3 linked regions of the Arabidopsis thaliana genome follow. The protein of the gene in region 2 binds, or shares a complex with, the protein of the main gene of each other region. Each region holds a gene or a part of one and is shown on either strand. Other genes may lie near its edges.

Evidence for each region.
Region 1: HCAR (region 2) and NYE1 share a complex: the UniProt entries of both Arabidopsis thaliana proteins name them as parts of the SGR1-CCE-LHCII complex.
Region 3: HCAR (region 2) and PPH share a complex: the UniProt entries of both Arabidopsis thaliana proteins name them as parts of the SGR1-CCE-LHCII complex.

Annotation. Positions count from the first base shown.
Region 1 is NC_003075.7:12,015,905-12,021,333, forward strand, and holds NYE1 (non-yellowing 1), read right to left. Parts: upstream 2,740-5,429; 5' UTR 2,703-2,739; intron 2,631-2,702; 5' UTR 2,066-2,630; coding exon 1,925-2,065; intron 1,808-1,924; coding exon 1,634-1,807; intron 1,440-1,633; coding exon 1,272-1,439; intron 1,196-1,271; coding exon 872-1,195; 3' UTR 559-871; downstream 1-558. Other genes in the region: PYR4 (pyrimidin 4), read left to right, coding at 3,411-3,440, 3,569-3,717, 3,910-4,091, 4,207-4,343, 4,413-4,578, 4,660-4,776, 4,863-5,023, 5,105-5,296. UniProt on the Arabidopsis thaliana protein: Magnesium chelatase involved in chlorophyll a degradation in the chlorophyll-protein complexes of photosystem I (PSI) and photosystem II (PSII). Contributes to the degradation of PSI and PSII in the thylakoid membranes.
Region 2 is NC_003070.9:1,281,219-1,288,705, forward strand, and holds HCAR (coenzyme F420 hydrogenase family / dehydrogenase, beta subunit family), read right to left. Parts: upstream 5,402-7,487; 5' UTR 5,275-5,401; coding exon 5,193-5,274; intron 4,784-5,192; coding exon 4,678-4,783; intron 4,586-4,677; coding exon 4,501-4,585; intron 4,410-4,500; coding exon 4,298-4,409; intron 4,152-4,297; coding exon 4,067-4,151; intron 3,963-4,066; coding exon 3,921-3,962; intron 3,787-3,920; coding exon 3,708-3,786; intron 3,624-3,707; coding exon 3,572-3,623; intron 3,473-3,571; coding exon 3,410-3,472; intron 3,236-3,409; coding exon 3,138-3,235; intron 3,061-3,137; coding exon 3,025-3,060; intron 2,945-3,024; coding exon 2,883-2,944; intron 2,779-2,882; coding exon 2,751-2,778; intron 2,656-2,750; coding exon 2,576-2,655; intron 2,491-2,575; coding exon 2,421-2,490; intron 2,323-2,420; coding exon 2,265-2,322; intron 2,105-2,264; coding exon 2,040-2,104; intron 1,945-2,039; coding exon 1,850-1,944; intron 1,742-1,849; coding exon 1,651-1,741; 3' UTR 945-1,650; and 1 more. Other genes in the region: YUC3 (YUCCA 3), read left to right, coding at 1-113; AT1G04625 (Polynucleotidyl transferase, ribonuclease H-like superfamily protein), read right to left, coding at 6,613-6,702, 7,014-7,487. UniProt on the Arabidopsis thaliana protein: Probable iron-sulfur flavoprotein that converts 7-hydroxymethyl chlorophyll a to chlorophyll a using ferredoxin as a reducing equivalent. Catalyzes the reduction of a hydroxymethyl group to a methyl group. Belongs to the chlorophyll catabolic enzymes (CCEs).
Region 3 is NC_003076.8:4,450,970-4,457,013, forward strand, and holds PPH (pheophytinase), read right to left. Parts: upstream 3,740-6,044; 5' UTR 3,543-3,739; intron 3,392-3,542; 5' UTR 3,339-3,391; coding exon 3,279-3,338; intron 3,182-3,278; coding exon 2,546-3,181; intron 2,203-2,545; coding exon 1,976-2,202; intron 1,876-1,975; coding exon 1,684-1,875; intron 1,585-1,683; coding exon 1,428-1,584; coding exon of another isoform or gene 1,422-1,427; exon of another isoform or gene 1,346-1,421; coding exon 1,094-1,345; 3' UTR 766-1,093; downstream 1-765. Other genes in the region: AT5G13810 (Glutaredoxin family protein), read left to right, coding at 4,800-5,624. UniProt on the Arabidopsis thaliana protein: Alpha/beta hydrolase dephytylating specifically the Mg-free chlorophyll pigment (pheophytin), yielding pheophorbide. No activity on chlorophyll. Belongs to the chlorophyll catabolic enzymes (CCEs).

The sequences.
Region 1 (5,429 bases), on a different chromosome or scaffold from region 2:
TCTTCATATATCAAAATATAGTTTCTTTTGTATTTATTTACTTACGAACACAACATTTTATAAAATAAGCCCATGATAATAATGCAATAATTCGTTACCATTCTCTTATATTACTTGTTCTTCTTCTCTTTCTGTATTTGGTGTATTTGGTCGTAAATTAGATAGACGAATGGGGTCAGAGAAAAAAAGTCATCTTGATTTGGTTATAAAATGAAAAAGATATTGAAGAAAGAGACCAAATAAATCCAAGAAAATAATTTGGAATCATTAGGAGCAAGAAGTGGCTGATACGCTTTGCAAAACCACCAGAGAGACAAAGTCTTTTGCCATCTCTTTACCTTCACGTTTCTCCTTAGTTTCTCACCGTTACACCGACGAATTCGGTCCTTAATATACGTCTATTGTTACTTTGGTGATGATTCTCATGAATATCTTCATATTTCTAAACTATTCTTATTTGGGATATTAGTATAACTTTAAATTGGTGATGATTCTCATGAATGTTTTGATATATTAAAATATATATGTTCATTAAACAACAATTTATTCATCTTTATGTTTGCATTGCAGTAGTACTATACCAGTCTGTCACCTTTAATATTAGCTAATCTGTAAGAAATTTACATTTTGATCTTGTGGATGAGATACAATACAAGTATACAACTATGATAAAGACTTCAGAGTAGACACAAAATACCATTTGAAACTTTAAAATCTGTATTTAACCTACAAATAATCATTATTTTCCTATACCACATTATGTACACCAAACCAAACCAATATTTAGATCCACCAAAAGGAAAGTCCTGCCATTTCCTTTTCACTTTGTACAAACTACCAAAAGAAAAACTTGTAATTTGATATTTAGTCACTAGAGTTTCTCCGGATTTGGAGTAGCAATTCCCTCAGTCTGAGTCCCAGAGTAACCATTTACACCTTCATTACTAAGACTATGAGACCATGGAATCGAGCTAACGGTTGGAAAACAACAACTACACTCGTCCGCACACCGAGCCTCGGGAAGAGTCTCAGTCTTGTGACCATCAGGCGAAACAGCTTCCCAAAGCGGACCCCAACACTCGACTTTGTTGAACTCATTGACATTAGAATGGAAATAGACCCAAACAAGAGCTTCTTGTAGCTCAGGATAGTTGTTCAACAAGTTCCCATCTCCATGCACAAAAGCCTTCAACACCTGTATATATCAAAACAATAAACATTTTGTTTTACATGAAACCAATAAAAAGTTTCTTATGAATTTGGGAACTTACCACAGGTAGTTCTTTGCAAAAGATGAAATATCGAAACTTTGCAAAGAGATCTAAAAGGAAATGGCCACCGCTTATGTGACAATGAACGTGAAGCGACATTTTCCCTTTCACTTTCTTCCATTCTGCCACAACTTCATCCCGGTATAGCCTATTTGCCCATCCTTGCAACTATAAAAAACATTTCTATACATATCAGCCTCTAAAGTGTTAAGAGATTCTGGTGAATATAGACACATACATAGGTTAAAACAATCATACATAAGCCTCTAATATTTGCTCCAAATAATCAAATACATAAACATTCTACTCCTATAAACAGAGCCATGTAGATATGTTAAGACCAGAGAGAGAGGTGTTTTTACCTGAGAGTTGTTTATGGATTGAGAAATAGCTAAGGTTAGTTTAGCTGTAATGTCACTGTGAGTGAGTGTGTAAGTCCTAGGGAGCGTTGAAGGATGCTTCTTCTCATCAACCCCTAAGAAGAGTACTTTCAATTTGGATGATTCGAAAATCGCCGGTCCAAACAACCTTGCAACCTGCACCGATCCCAAAAGTTTCAAGTTCCATCAATAAAGACAGAGGCATAGATATATCCATAACTGAGACACATAAAACAAAGATATGTCAAAATGATTAAGAGAACAAATCCTTACGGGAACAATCGATTGGTTCTTCTTCTTGGATCTTCTATTGTTGAAGAAGAGTGAGCTGCTGCTGCTACTGTTACTCCGTTTGTCTGAATAAGCTGGTTTCAGCTTCGTTGGTAACAACATAATCGCCGACAAACTACACATCTCTGCTCTCTTGAAACCCAAATCAAAAGCTTCAATATTTCAGAAATAACAACAGAACAAAACGCCACTAAATACAGAGAGACTCCTTTCACGAAGCTTGGATACAATTTTTTCACGCGAGTTCTTGCGTGTTCGTACACTGAAACCACAATCAAAAAGATTGTAACTTTAAGAAATAAATATATAAAAGACCCAAAATTTGAGCTTTTCCTTTGCTTGATGATTGCTTGAAGCTTTGGTTTTGAATTTTCCTTTTGAGATCTTCCAGGAATTTAGGGTTCTTTGTGATGCGTATTGAGTTGGTTCTTGTGTTTAAAAGGGATTGTTGCTTCACGTTTCACACTTCCGTGCCCAAATCTGAACACTCTTTTGGAATTTTTCTGAACACGAGAGAGTGCCACGTGTTCTCTAATCTTTGCATGAGCTTCCCCATGTGTCGTCATGGTGGGGCTAACAACTGGCTCTAACCGTCTTTTTGGATAACTTTAGCCATCTCGTTGCGACAAAGAGACACAGATTCGGCTCTAACCGAACCTAACTCACGTACTGTAGTTGTCAGTCGAACCTAAAGCAATACGGTTTAGTTTCGGTTCAATTTAATGTCATTCGACTCGATTACTCGGTTTAGTTATTAGACCTGTGAAACTCGAGAGGCTTCTTCGCTTGAATCGTCGTGAACAAGGACAACAAACGCAGGTATTGATGGAACCGGAGGAGTCAGAGAGTCCCATGTTGATCCATAAGGATGTTAAAAAGGGCTGAAATTTGTGATCAGGTCCAGGTCCATTAAAAATATCGGGCTAAAATTGGGCTGGCCTGTTACAGAGCTTTTATTTTTTTCTTCTTCTTTTACGTTAAGCGACGTCGTATCTTGTAAACAACAAAACACGAGTACTGTTTTTTCTTCTTCTTTCTCCTTCAATCTCTTCCTCAAATCACTCTTTTTGGGGTTCGTTTTGTTTGTGTTGTAAGCATCCCTGTTGTGCATTTCGTTTATCCAGGTTCGTATTGCTTACCTAAACAAGTTCAAGTTTTCGATTTTGGTTTCTAGGTGTTTACCAGTTTCGCCATTTTGTGGTTTATTGTTTGGATAATTTGATTTCTTTGGATTTTGCTGATACCCATTTGTGTGTATAGAAATTTGATTAATCTGGATACTAAATTTCGTTTGGAGAAACATTGAACCAAAGGAATGCGAAATCTTTTGATGATGATTGAATAGTTTTAGTGCCTGCTAATACTTTAGAACAGAGTCAATTTTTTAAGGTCATGTTATAGAATCTGAGTCTACTTGTCATTTGCTTTGGAACAGGTGAATTCTTGCAAAGCCTTGAGCAGCTTTCAGATGATAAAGACTTTGGTCTCTCCTTATAGTGTATGTACTCTACCTCCACCACTCTTTGAGTCTTATTCTTGTTTAGTTCAATCCACGTGATCCAGTTTTAATTTTATTTAATTCCTCCTATGCGTCTGTTAAAGTCAACTATTTTATTCTTTATGTAGGGATTTGGATCTCAGAAGTTGAAGTTTGACAGATCTTCTGAGAAAGTGAAGACGAGAGCAGTAAGAATGGAGCTCACAATCACTCAACCTGATGATTGGCATCTTCATCTCCGTGACGGTGATCTTCTTCATGCTGTTGTTCCCCACAGGTCTTATAAACATCCTGCAATCTTTCTTTTCTTTCCTTGCTTTACTTTGTTTTGCAGCCACTTTTTTGTTTGCTATTGGTGTTTCTTGTGGAACCATTGTTTGTTATGTATGAATTCCTCAATCACAATCTTGTGCTGGCGTTGATGCTTGTGCTGTACATGATGGTTAATGGTGTATGTAATTATGTGCAGTGCGAGTAATTTTAAGAGAGCGATTGTGATGCCGAATCTGAAGCCTCCTGTCACCTCCACTGCAGCTGCCATTATTTACCGGAAATTTATCATGAAAGCTTTGCCATCTGAGAGTAGCTTTGATCCACTTATGACACTTTATTTGACTGACAAAACTCTACCTGAAGAGATCAGGCTTGCAAGTAAGTACCTGTGCTTTCTCCATCTTGTTGCAAACTAATCAGATACATTTTCATCTTTCTGATTGAGATTCTACTTGCTAATGTTCAGTTTATGCATATATGATCTTGTTATTAGGGGAAAGTGGTGTGGTTTATGCGGTGAAGCTGTACCCTGCCGGAGCAACAACCAACTCTCAAGATGGTGTCACGGATCTCTTTGGAAAATGCTTACCGGTACTAGAAGAGATGGTCAAACAAAACATGCCTTTGCTGGTAAATAAATCATACACCACATAGACTTGTATTTTTGTCTTTGTCTTGTCTGAGGAATGTTTTGATTAGGTTCATGGGGAGGTCACAGATCCGAGTATCGATGTCTTTGACCGCGAGAAAATCTTCATTGAGACAGTTCTGCAGCCTCTAATCCAACGCCTTCCGCAGCTGAAAGTAGTGATGGAACACATCACAACCATGGATGCTGTGAATTTTGTTGAATCTTGCAAAGAAGGTTTTGTTACTATCTTATTTTCATTTCTTGTCTTTTGGTTTTTGTTAATCTGCATAGCTCATAACATTTTGTTGATTATAGGGTCTGTGGGTGCAACAGTCACACCACAACATCTCCTTCTCAACAGGAACGCCCTTTTCCAAGGTGGATTACAACCTCACAACTACTGTCTTCCCGTTCTCAAAAGAGAAATACATAGTATGTTCTTCACTTTCCTTTTGAACATTAATATTTCATTTTTTCAGCAGCTTTCGGAAGATCATTGCTTTTACTTCATTGTACAGGAGAAGCCATTGTCAAAGCTGTAACTAGTGGAAGCAAGAAGTTCTTCCTCGGCACAGATAGTGCTCCACATGAACGGAGTAGAAAAGAATCATCCTGCGGATGTGCTGGTATTTACAGCGCTCCCATTGCCTTGTCCCTATACGCCAAGGTCTTTGATGAGGTAAACTGTGTAACTTCAAACAGTTTACTTTCCCGGTTTGTGATTCCTTATGTTCATAACTTTAACTTCTTTAACATTCAGGCGGGTGCGCTGGACAAGTTGGAAGCTTTCACCAGTTTCAATGGACCTGATTTCTATGGCCTTCCGAGAAACTCGTCAAAGATCACACTGAAGAAATCTCCTTGGAAGGTTCCAGACGTTTTCAACTTCCCATTCGGAGAGATCGTCCCTATGTTTGCTGGAGAAACCCTTCAATGGCAACCGTTGAAATAATGTGGTGATTTGAAGTTGTCAAATTTTTTCTCCCAAATAAGTGAACTCGTGTACCTTTTGGATTGAATTTTCTTACGGCTGAGTTATGCCCTGCATTTTTTGAGGAATAAAAGCAAGATACTGACCAATAATG
Region 2 (7,487 bases):
CGCTTGATGCTATGAGTGTGGCTCATGATATTGCTAATAGGTGGAAAGAAGAGTCTAAGCAACAGAAGAAAACTGCTGCTGCTCGTCATCGTCGTTGTATTTCACATTTCTAATCATCATTATCAAATTTAGGGAAAAAAATATTCAAAAAAAGAAGAAGATAATTAAGCCCTCTCCTCGGAAGAAAATACCCCCAAAAAAAAGAGAATTGTGAAAAGAAAAAAATAATAGGGGGATTTTTCTTTGTTTTTTTAGGAAGATGTGGCTTTTTTATGTATTTTTATTTTAAGAGTGCTTTATTTTGTTGTTGTATTTTTTTTAAATCTTCATTTTAGATTTTGAACTCTTGTAAGAAGTTTTGCTTAATCTAATATGACAAATATATTTTACGGTTTTGTAATTCTTTTCTCAACGATGCATGTTGTGTTATCTCTATGATGATGTTGTTGATCAGGAAAAGAAACAACTAATTTCATGCTGTTTCATTATTGGAAGAATACTCTCACAAGTTAGAGCTGTTATTTAACTGATTAAGGAATTATTAGCCATTTTGTAATCATTATATTTGGCAAATGATTGATTTACACATGATTGTCTTGGACAGTCCATATTAAAGTTGTTTCATGGATTACAACCTCCAGGGAACACAAGTTGAAAATACTGAAACATGCATTTCTGTAGGATATGCAAAATCCATTAGGGATGAACAATGTATCTAATTTGAAACACAGATGGATAATAAATATAACATTATACAACTTTCTCAGAAAAACTTGAGTGAAATCATATATTATATATGATGTTGGATCTAGTTATAAATATATATATACTGAAACAGATACAGATACAGATCCAAAATATGCAATACGTAAATGAATTCTCTAACATTGTTATATGTCAAATTGCAACTCAAAATTAATTCAAGGTACCAAAGTAAGCTTTATTTCACTTAAATATATTATTAGAAAAAACGTTTACATGCTCTGTATTAGGACAATGCCTCTGGTGAGAAAAAATCAACTATGGTGCAAAAGAGCAGAGACATTTATGAGTTTCACTTGAGGTCTGAGAGTCTCTGCAGCAAAGTCATTGAACGAGCAGAGCAGAGACTTGACTAACAAAAAGACAAAAAAAGAAAAAAAGAGAGAGAGTAAAATTTGAAGTTTCCAATGTGTGAAATATGGTGATGAGTAAGTTAGTGAGTGAGTGAGTGAGTGAGCGAGCGAGTGAAGCTTAACCATGGTTCCTTCTTCTTTGTCCAAGCAAAAAAAAGACATTAAAAGCTAATTCCCCCCAACTGTGTAAATGTCTGGTTCCCATCCTCTTAAAACAGTTATTCATGTTCTCATGCAAAACCCTGCAACCTTTTACTCGGACATCACCTTAACCTAAAGATATGGAGGAAGGAACCCACATGGGTTGATTTGGATTCAGCCGCTGATTTAGACTGTTTCTTATTCTCTGTTCTCTGCCAAAAAACACCAAACCGACCCATCTTTTCTTGCCGGTGTCTTACCAAATTCACGAGGGAAATAGTTTTGGATATTACTAACATACTACAAGTTGAGAAACAGTAGGACCAATGTACATTTACTCACTTGTAGGATGAAATATACATTTGGAAACTTACATGAGAAAGGCCTAAAATGTTCATTTCTTGGAGAGCATTTTATCTATTTGGCCGTTTTTGTTGTACATTTCCACTATCTTTTTGGCATATGATGGCATGTGGGTGTTTGCTCTGTAGATGGTAATGCAGCTTTGGTCATTAGAGAACGATCCAATAGTATAGAAATACACAGTTGATCGCAATAAACTTTTATCTCTAGGAGTGTGTTTCAGATCTTACCTTTGCTTTCCCCATTTGCGGTTTACGTACAAATAGTTTCTGATGGTATGGTAGTCCAACGAGTACCGAGCAAATTCTAGACCCTTAGGACCAACCTGAAGCAAGAATGGTTTTGCAAGTTAAGAAACTCTTTGACTTTTTATGCAATGAGCTTGTTTCTCGGTTTGTGTTCATAAGGAAATAATCTTACCAAATTTAGGATGAACGCAATAATGTTTCCAACAAATAGTGGCGCTGGCTGAGCAGGACCTTGACCTAAGAAATTATAGACTAGTTAGAAGACTTTAGCACAATGTTAGTTGCATGCATTTGCTGAGAACTTTCTTTTTGGCATCTAGCTTTGCTTGAAACTGAATGTCTTTAAGCAGAGACGATTCAAGAAACAAAAGAGTTTCGAATACGTTTGAAAACATACCAAACTTAGCAGCATCGTCTGCCTTAACAGTTTCTGTCACAAAAGGTCGCCGATCACCCTGAAACAACAACAAAAGGTGTGTTTGTTCATGTTATTTGTTAAGTGGACTCTTAAAGTCTTAAATATAACAACAAATATAAATGTTAGAAACTTTACGCTGCTGATTGTTGGAGTGATCTCCAAAAGGTTTTCTACCAAGCTGAGCATTTCTTTCCCACGTTCATTTCTGTGGTTTAAGGCATAAACAAAACTAATTTTATCCAACCACGAGAACCTATATGGTCCATGTCAAAATACGTAGAAATATTGACCTCACTGTAATATACTGTGGATGGTCAGTCATGTTCAGACCTGAATACTTCGGAACACCCATGTAACCGATAACCAAATCCTAGATAAACAAGCTCATACATATCAGGAAATGTTTGAAATTGGCAGAATCAAAATTAAGTGAAAAGACATCTTAATTGCTAGAGAAACACTCACCGCTAATGCATTTGTGTAATCAAAGCAGCTGCAGAATAAAAAAGATAGGGTTTGTAATTGTAGACAAGTTTTAAAAATTTCCGACAGGTTATCTATTTCAAGGTATAGAGACAATGCAGAGACTTGTATTACCTGTAACACGATGGAGCTATGACATCTACTAAATCGTTTGCAGGTAGAGAGAAATAGGGAACCTGCTTTAGCCAAAAAAAGTTTTTTAAAAACGGCTTTCAGCTGCAATTGCAGAGCAACACAGTATTTTAAGCGAATTTACCTCTTCAATGTGTCCATCCAAGTGTTTGAGTTGGACCTATAAGAGAAATTGAACAAGATTGGCATCACCAAAGAAAATGCACAGATAAGTGATGGTTTTGTATTAATGCTAACCTTGTAATCTTGCATAAATTCATAATGGAGAACAGTCTCTGGCTCTTTACTAGCTGCTTTCAGAAACTTGTCTAGTCCATCTCGTGTTCCGTTGTCCACTATTAATCAAAGATGTTCTTTTTACTTGTTTAAAAATGTATAAGCATTTCTAGACCTAAGCATACAAGACTCCGAAATAACATATACAACATGGAATGTTCAAAAGTACAACACAAGAACTAGTTGTGAAAGTTCTGGAGAAAAAACAAATCTAGATAGGATGAGGAAAATACCACAATTGGTGCCTAGTACATACAACTTTTCCAGATTCAGATGCTGCTCCACTGATCTCAATGCTGCAGTATAAGAAATCACTCTGCATTACAATACTATGAGAGTCACGATATGGAGAAACTTGAAATATACGTCCACAAAAAAGTATGTTGAGCCCATACCTTGCACTTGGCAACCCACACCGCAAAACAGAAGACGCTTCACTCCGGAAGCCTGTTACAATACAAATTCTAAGTTCATGTGAAATGGATTCAGTGATTGAAAACACAAACAAGAAATAAGGGTTTGGCAAATAACCTCGATTAATTCAAGAGTATTCAGATTAGGAGACAGAGTTGGCTTGACACCTCTTGCAGCCAAAACTTCTTCAGGTGTCCTTAGAATGAAAAGAAATGAAACATCAATACGCTTCTATATCCAGAGTAACAGCAAAATATGGATCCACATCTAAAAAATGGCGACTTGAAGAAGAATGGACTCAAAATAAACCACATTAGGAAGGTGGAAAACCTGGCTAATACTGGTCTTGGAGATAATCTGTCTTCAGGATCACTGTAATATTTCAATAAATCAGTTACATGGATAGATGGAAAAATCTACAGCATGGTCGATAAATGTAAGCCTAGTCCATTTCTGAAATTCAACAGTAGTTTTACCTCTGCACACAAACGACAGCTTCAACCATATTAGATTTCAGCATCTCAATGGCTATGGTTGTGACAATTCCAGTCCACTGAGCTCCTGCAACCGAAAATAGAATGAAAAGTAAACAACAAAGCTAAGCTAAATTCATCTTGAACGAGACACAAAAGTGCCCTAGCTTAGATTGAGCCAGGAAAAGAAGTTAGTAGAAAATGTGGAACAGTGGAAGGGAAGTGTCTATTTACCTTCGACAGGCTTCAACTTACGAGCATAGAGCTGCTCTTGATGCACCCCAAAATATGTATCTTGTAAGGAATCTGCTTTCCTTCCTCTACCATGCACAACAGGTTCCAAGCTCTGCACAAGAACTTAAAATATTAACAAAATAAGAATCTTAGCCCATCAATTAAAAAGAGTATCAAATCTTATCCATTTATATGGACATTACCTCAATCCTTGACATTCCATCTCCAAGAAATGCACATGCCTCCTTCACATGGGCAATGTAGTAGGTGTCGCATAGCCCGCACTGACTGCAAACCCATCAGAACACCAAGGATCTTGATAAGAATGAGACAAAAATAGTGAGGTAAACAAACAAACAAACAAAAAAGAAAGAAAAAACCTGCAATGGTCTTTAGCTGGATAGGTTCCTCCGGGTGGGATAGGTCTGGACTTTTCTCTCCAGTCTTCTCTTAATTTAACCTTCTTTTTTGGCTCTAGATTCATATCTGCAATTAAAGCCATAAGAGAAGGGTTCATGCAGGCTTCAGAGAGAAGATAAAAACACACAAGACAAAGATCGATGCTATACGAAACAAAAATCTGTTCCGAAATTCTGATGCTTTCAAACAGAATTGACATTATGCAGTAATACATACTAAGTTAACACAAGATTTCTATCTTCAAACTCGATAGTGACAGCTGTGGAAGACCAAATCAAGCATTCGACAAACATTACCACTATGTTCGAAAAGAAAACTCCGAATCTTAGATAAAATTTCATCCCTTTAACGAATTTCAGGGATCGGTTACACTGAAATTTTGTATAAGACGGGTCTTTTAAAAAACTGAAGAATCAACGACGTGTGTAAAACAGAGTGCTATAAAGAGAAGACGTGGCAGAAATAAATTGAGCACCTTTGGAACGCGAAGAAGAAGAGTTAACGACGGAGAAGACTGGAGGAAGGAGAGAGAGCCTGGAGGTGACGACAGTAATCATGGTTGCCCAGCCAGAGAAGAAGAGAAGAAGAGAAGAAGAGAAGAGAGTAGAGAGAGAGAAAAGAAGATATTTTTTTGCTTTTGAACTTGGATATCTTTTAGGAACCAAACTTGATAACCAATTCTTAACCGGACTGAATGGTTTTGGTTCGTAAGAGCTCTTTCACGGGCTTTCTCCATTTTTTTATTATTAAAATTTTTAAAAAGTTATAAGAGAGTTTTAATTTTTTTTCATATTCTAATGGTAAGCTCTCTTATAAGAGTTTTCTGAAAAATAAAATAAAATTTAAAATAATTATATTTCATATAACTTAATAACTATTGTAAATCAGAAAATATTAAACATATATTATTTTGAAACATTTTAAGAAAGATATGAAAATAAAAACACGGAATAACGATAAGTTCTGTCGATTGTTGCAAAATTTAAAGATTGAAAATAAGAACAAATTGTTTTAAAGAATAACAAGATTGTCGATTAAATCGGTTTTAATTTAAGGACTAAAGTGATAATTTGTATAAAGTATAAGCTCTGATATGATTATAAGTGACTCTATTGCTATATATCTGAAATTCATCTTCTTGTTTCTGTCTCCTTAACTGAATCCATAATGTGTTTATATAGTTATTCATCATATGTTCACAGAATTCTGTGTTTCTTTCATGTGCTAATTGGTACAATGTTAGTTTAATTTTAAGAGTTAAAAATATTTGTACACAAATTAAAGTTTTCACATAATAGTTTTCAGTCTCATATATTGCAACAAGTCTCTATGCAAGCTAACACAAAGGCAGTCTTCCTATGCAAGCTCTTTAGCACATCATTCAGATTATCTGATCGAACTACATACATGGCCACTAACACATAGTCACATACTAACCATCTCCTAACTTGTATTGGTTAAAACGCTCAATTTATAACACCACAACATCGACAAGAAATCGAGAGTAACAACTAAAACATGCTTCCACGACTCTCTATGATTCTACAAATAAACAACAGAGACTACAATAGCATTACTCTAGTTACAAGCAGAACCTAGACAACATAACAAAAGCCAATTCTTGATTCAGAACAAGGAATGATGACTAACTCAAAATGATTGTCAAAGAAACCCATTTCAATACTCTAAAATTGGAAAGCATCAATATAGCAAATGATCATAAGTGGCTGATACAAGGTCCAAAGCATGGATTACGAGAAGAAAACAAAAAATCCACCTTCTTCTTCTTCTTTTGTCTTTTTAGCCTCTGTTTGTTTCTGTTCCTCTCTTACAAAAAGAACTCACCGATCACGAGAACGTCAAAGCTCGATGATCACCATCCATTTTCACCACCGTCAGAACCGTCGGAACTGTAACTCGGTGATCACACCATCAATGATCTCGCCACCGTTTGTCTCTCTGTTTTCTTGCGTTTCACGATCTCTCTAGCAAATCATGGCGGATCTCACCGAGAGTCCCAAGTATTGACGCAAACCACGCGCCGTTGTCACGAGACTCAGGTATGTTGCTTCTCGCTTAAATTCCTATTTGATCTCTTGGAACCTTGGATTTTTAATATTTAGTTTCTGCACAAAAAAGGTCTCTTTGAATTAGGTCAATCAATATTTAGTTTTCTAACCGCAATTTCATCGGAGGAACTAGGGTTTGATCTTGTAGTTTTTTTTTTTTTCCTCAAACATCAGCTTTATTAATAATTTGCTGTAGCAAAGTCGCGATGTAAAAAATCAGTTATTACAAACGGGATATAGTTATAGCAATAAAACTGAGTGTTCAAAGGAAGTTGTTGTTTTGCCAGAGCATCTGCAGCCATGTTTGAAAATCGCCTTGTCCAAGTAAACTTGCATTCTTCAAATTTTGATCTCCAAGCGCTTATATCTCTTATCCAATTAAAAACTGCAAAATTTGAAGACCGACCATTGACAATCTCTGAGACTTCTTTATTGTCACCTTCAAAGTAAATTTTCCTATAGCCCCTACTCCAACAATGTTGCATGGCCATGACTAAAGCTTGGAGTTCACTTTCCATCGGATTGGTAGTAATAGAGCCTATAGCATGAGCTGCACCTAGAAAGGTTCCTCGATCATCCCGTAAGAGCCAACCCGCTTTACTCGGAGCGTTGCTGTGGTAAGTGCCGTCATAGTTGCATTTCGTCCAACCAATAGGGGGTGTTGTCCAGAGATTAGCTGTTGGTTCTTGTGACGTTACTCT
Region 3 (6,044 bases), on a different chromosome or scaffold from region 2:
AAGAAAGGTAAAAACTCGGTAATGAATGTTGTGTGTTGCATGGCCACTGTTTTGCGTGCTCTCTTTTTTCAATTTTAGGGTTTTTTGCATGATACCTTTTTGCCACATTTGGAGGATTTTGTCAGTTCTTCTGGGTCCTACTTTCCCTTTTCTTCCTAAAGTTGTTTTTTTCTTTCCTCTTTTTTCCTTCCCTTTAAAATTAGATTTATTAGTACTAGTGTATTTTCTCTTTAATGTTGTTGTAAGACATAAATCAGACCAACAATGTTGACCGACATAAAAATAAAAAAAAGTTCAGAGCAACAATTAGAAACAATTTCAAAGTACCCCCAAGAATAAAATTGCAACAACTAGCATTGTTTGATGGTTACCATTATGTTATCAACTAGTGAGAGATAAAAAAACATACTGAGAAGTAATTTCTTACAACTAGTGTAGAACGACACTTTAGTAGCAGCTTTGTAACACCGGTTTTTTTTTTTTGACACTCAAATCAATAAATAGATAACGAGATTTTATCAGAGACTAAGAAACAAATTAAGAAAAGAAGCAGACCAAATCTCATGTTGGATATATAGCCTGTGTAAGTAAGTTTCTCAAAAGTGGTTTGGATAGCCTTCTAATTCAGTCCCTTATTTGTTGACCGTGGAACTGACAAAAATGAGATTCAAGCTAAGGGAAGAATATGGTCAAGGATACGACTTTGCCTCGAGAAAAGTAACCAATGATACGTCTTTTCAAACACCATACATGTTCAATAAAACTGTTCACCTTTGGAAATTATTAACAATTCAAATACACTCACTTTCTTCTTTTGGAATCAGAGTAATTTCAAGCTCTCTTCCAATTTTTAAGACAACTCATATGGCCTGCAATGTCGCCTTCCTATATTAATCTGAACCTGTGGATTATATACAACAATGCAAGAAAGGAGTTCCTTCGATTTAGGTGACTAACTATCAAGTAGATATTTTTCTAACTTTTCCTTTTGAACATTTTAGAAACTTGATTCTACAGACAACATTATATAGCTAGCATCGGATGCAACATAGATTACAATTAATTTACACTAGACGACTGTTCCATGCTTCTTCTATGCAGACTTCCCTCCAAACACCCTTATAAAACTGGATCTGAAAGATTCTCTAACTCCTCTCCAGTACGTATAGTTTGACCCATATAACCACAGATTCACTGCTTTTTTCCAACCATCTCTCGGGAACTCAATTTCTCTACCAATCCTGGACTCCTCCCAATCTTCTTCAGTGTCCTCCAAAAGCGGGAGCGCTTCAAAACCACCAGACTCCAGGTGCTTGATCCACCCGCGCATCAGATAGTTCACCACCTGCTCGTTTTCATATCCCAAATGGTGGGTTCATTATACCTAATTGCAGAGTTTGAAGAATTTATTGACTAGTTCATTATACCTCAGGGACTTCATCGTGTGGGCAGTGACCCGCTGGGCTGATCTCGTAGTATGGAGCGTTGGGGATTTCCTTCTTTATCTTCTTTCCCCATAACGGTCTCACCCATGGATCTTCTCTTCCATACATGAGACATATCTGAACATTGTTTTCCTTACACCTAGCATAAACCATCAAATAGCAGCATTCCTCATAAGCAATAACACCAATCACGCAGAGTAAAAAACATATAAAAACAAGAAACCACACTGTCTTATACCTAGATAAAGCTTCGGAGAAAGATAGCTCTCCACCAGGAGCAAGCATGATTGAAGCAAACGATGCTGCAGCAGCCGGATGCTGTGTGACCTCCACAATACGTGAGAATACTTTATCCACATTGATAGAATGGTCTGTGTAGACCTGTTTAAGTATCTCAGCTATGCTTTCAGGATCACTTATCTTTTGCCACCTGCAGTTTCATTGGGAAGTAAAGATATTAGACTGATAGAGATAGAAATAGAAAATGATACTTTTCAGGTGAGGAGATGTGTTAATAAAGTCTCCCTTACACCAATTCTGTGATTTTTTTCACTCTTTCCGGCAGAGGGAATGCTCCGGGCCATGGAAAGAGACGTGCTAGCTTTGGGGATCTTACTGGATTAGGGAAGAAACCCCAGAAAGGTGTTGCATTAAGCAAGGTAACACCCTTAACCAGGTGAGGATGGGTTGCTGCAAAGTAGAGAGCTACATACCCTCCAAGTGAGTTCCCTGCAATGTACACAGGCTCACCGATAACCTGTACAACACAAATACCACATACTCTTACCGACTCAGCAGCTTATTTCAGATGAAAAAGATCGTGATCTCAAACTAGAACACAAACGGAATCAAAGAACAGAGATGAATTCTAATATCTAGTGCATCCTAAACTTTCCCATTCCCAAAGCAACACCAGAAGACTCCATACCCACACTTTCAGGTTCTGAGCTGAAAACTATTGAAATCCATGAGTATACGACACATAGCAACAATCTACACTAAAAAAAAAAAGCTAACACACTGCTTTTGAAATTACGACTAAAAGAACAAAATCAACAGCTTAAAGAGTAATAGAACAACTGAACTCAGATATTGCTAACCTCTTCTACAAAATACTGAACTTGATCCCTCCAGAGATCCAGAGAGAATACAAGTTGATCAGCCCACGGTTCAGTTTTGTCACCAAATCCCCAAAATGGTTCCTTATCTTCCGAGGAACTGGTTTCTTCAGTCATGGTAGTAGGATCTTCAGTAGGGAGAGATAAACCCTGTCCAAGAAAATCAATAGCCCATACTCGATAATCCCTTCCCAAATCGGTAAGCTGCTTCTCATAGTGAAATGAACCAACGCCAAAGCCAGGAAGAAACAACACCGCAGGAGCATCGAGATTGTCACAACCGGCTTTCTCATAATGTACTCTAAGCTTGGGCTTCCACTCGCAGTGAGAATGACTGATTCGAGCAGCAATTTCACCATTTGATTCATCAGGCAAACCAGGAATCAAAACCTTTGACGTTGATTCTCCTCTTCTGGCTATACGACCCAAGTCATCATTCTCACCAACAACATAACCATCGGAATTTCCACTTCGAATCACAAGTCTGGATTTTTTGACCCCTGAGAATAACAAACTTGACCGATTTGGGACCAATCTTTTCGTTGCTAATTTACTACTCCAAGTAACCACAGAGCACTGGGGCACAACGTTCAGTGAGATTATCTCCATAACAAGTTCCTGCAAATGAACAACCAAAAGGCATATCCTTTAATACGAATTTTCCACTCATATATCTCAACTTCATAGCAAAGCTAAGAATAACAAGGAAAATCACATATGAAGCTGGAATCTTTGTATAGTTATCAGAATTTTGCTTCAAAAGCTGAAACCACATACAAAAAGTTGATGAACTTGCGGTAATCTTCTATGAACTCGTCTTATCAAATCCTAATCAAAACAAAGCAAATCAAGGTCAAGCCAATCTTCTATCAAATTGAAACCAAACAACAACAACACCACCCGATTCATCGACAAAGAACTCCAGCTATATAATAAACCCAGGAAGAAAAGAAAGAAAAGAGAGAGTTGCAACTTGTACCTTTTCAAATTCCAGAAGCGAGAAGCTTCATCAAATGGTCTCTCTGAGAGCGTTATTGAGAAATTAAGCGAGGAAAAATCTAAAGGTGAAGAAGAAATAGAAGAATTGGGTTGCTTGCTGGCTTGGTTAACTTCAATCGTTCGGTGCAAACCGACAGCAACGTTTTTATCGAGTTTTTATTTTTTCTTAAAGGATCCAAAATTCATACTGTATTATTAAGTGTAGGGTTATTTTTTTCACAATATGACATTTTGTTTTGGATCTGACATTGCTAATTTGACACCGATGTAACATTGCAAAAACACATGTTTGTTGCAAAAATATGACAGAATAATATTTTTTTTAAAAACAATTGATTTTTGATCTTCTTTTCCATTGTGTAACAATCGGAAAACAAAAAAAACAATCGAAAAACCTGCAGTTTTCATATCAAACAATATAAAACCCGTTTAATTTTTGAATGGTTTAATCACTATTTTAACGGTGTTATTTGAGTTTTCTAGTTGATTTTAAATGTTAGAGAATTGATCTTGTGTGAACTAAAAATCCTAATGGTCGAAGACTAGAAAGCGAAATACACTACTCTTCAATTAGAATACAGACAACTATCTCTAAACCGAGCGTAGAATCAATAGCAATAAACCGACCGTAGAAACTGGTTTCGCTGTAACCATAACCTTTCTTAATAAGACAACCGCGTTTTACCAGTAAACGACTTTTCCTCGCAATTTAATCCCACTTTTGTTATTTTTTCAAATTCGTTTTTCCTCGAAGGAGCATCGAGTAAATATATCATTAAAGAGCCTTTAATAACTTAGACATAATAATTATATCTTTAAAAAAAAAACAGAAAAATTCTTTGCTTTGCAACAAAGGCAGACAGACAAAAGGCTAATTCGGAGCTCTCCTCCACATCTTCTTCCAAAACACAAACAAACCCCCAAATTTCCAGAAAAATCAGATCATTCTTTCATCAATCTCGTCTTCTTTAATCTTAGGTGAGAATTCATCAGCTCAAAAACGCAGCACCCGATCGTTTTACGACTCAAATCAGAGAAGCTGATTCTTTTCCAATCATTCCAATTTCCATTTCTTCCTTGGGAGGTGATCGACGATTATTCAATTTATGTTTTTCAATTTCTCTTTCTGTATTCGTCAATTTGCTTGAATTTGATCCTAGGGTTTTGATTTTGTTGACTATTTTAGGTTTTACACCAAATTAGCCGTCGAAAGGGGTGCTTCTTTGATCTAATTTCGATGGCGGGATTAGAGAAAAACGCTGATTTCTCAGGGAAGACGACGAAATCGGCTACAACGACGTCGTTCTTCAACAGGTCGCTTACAATTCACGGAAGAACAGTGGTGGATTCGGGCCCCAAATCCCACAATCTCAATCCTTCTCTCAATCGTACCACCTCCATTACCAAATTCTACACCCCCGTAGAATCGATGGGAACTTCTCTTAAAGGCAAAGTCAAAAACCTTTGTAGATTATTCGAGACTTCCAAACCCGTTAAACCTGCCTTAGCTGAGATTCCTCAGAAGCAGAAATCCGGTAAATCCCTTTTACCCGAATCGCGGATATCGCCTTTTTCGAGCTTAAACAACTCGGTCATCCGTCTTCCCGGGACAGAGGACAGGATTGTGGTGTATTTTACTAGCTTGAGAGGGATTAGACGGACGTATGAGGATTGCTATGCTGTCAGAATGATATTTAGAGGGTTTCGGGTTTGGATCGATGAGCGCGACGTCTCCATGGATATCGCTTATAGGAAAGAGTTGCAGATTGCAATGGGAGAGAAGTCTGTGTCTTTGCCTCAAGTTTTCATTATGGGCAAGTATGTTGGTGGTGCTGATGTGATCAAGAGTTTGTTTGAGATTGGTGAGCTTGCTAAGATTCTTAAAGAGTTTCCAATGAGACAACCAGGGTTTGTTTGCCATTGCTGTGGGGACATTCGATTTGTTCCGTGTTCCAATTGTAGTGGCAGCAAGAAACTGTTTGATGAGGATGAAGATAGGGTCAAGAGATGTCCTGAATGCAATGAGAATGGATTGATACGTTGTCCTGATTGCTCTTCTTGAGATATATCATCAATGAACCTGAAAAAACCATTAAAAAAAAGAAGAAAAAAGAGGTATTTATTTCTCTTTTGATGTTTCCATTGTTGTGTAGAACAGTGAATGATGCTGCCACAAGTATCCGAAAATCTCTTTTGGATCAGCAGCATTTCACTTTGGGTTTTTTAAGGTTTGCGATCAACGGTAATGGGAATGCCGGTGATCGTGGATTTAGTTTATGTATGTGTTTGCTACTAAGGGCTAAATGTAATTGTGTAATCAAAATGTCTGAAACGGGTAGTAAGCATTTTGACTCTTGTGTGTCAATGTTGTGAAAGACAACTGTGTTCTTATGCTATATATTTGATTGTAAATATTTCGTGTGTTTATGGGCATCTTGTTGATTACGACAGTAATTGGGTGGTTCTACTCGCTTGATCGTCT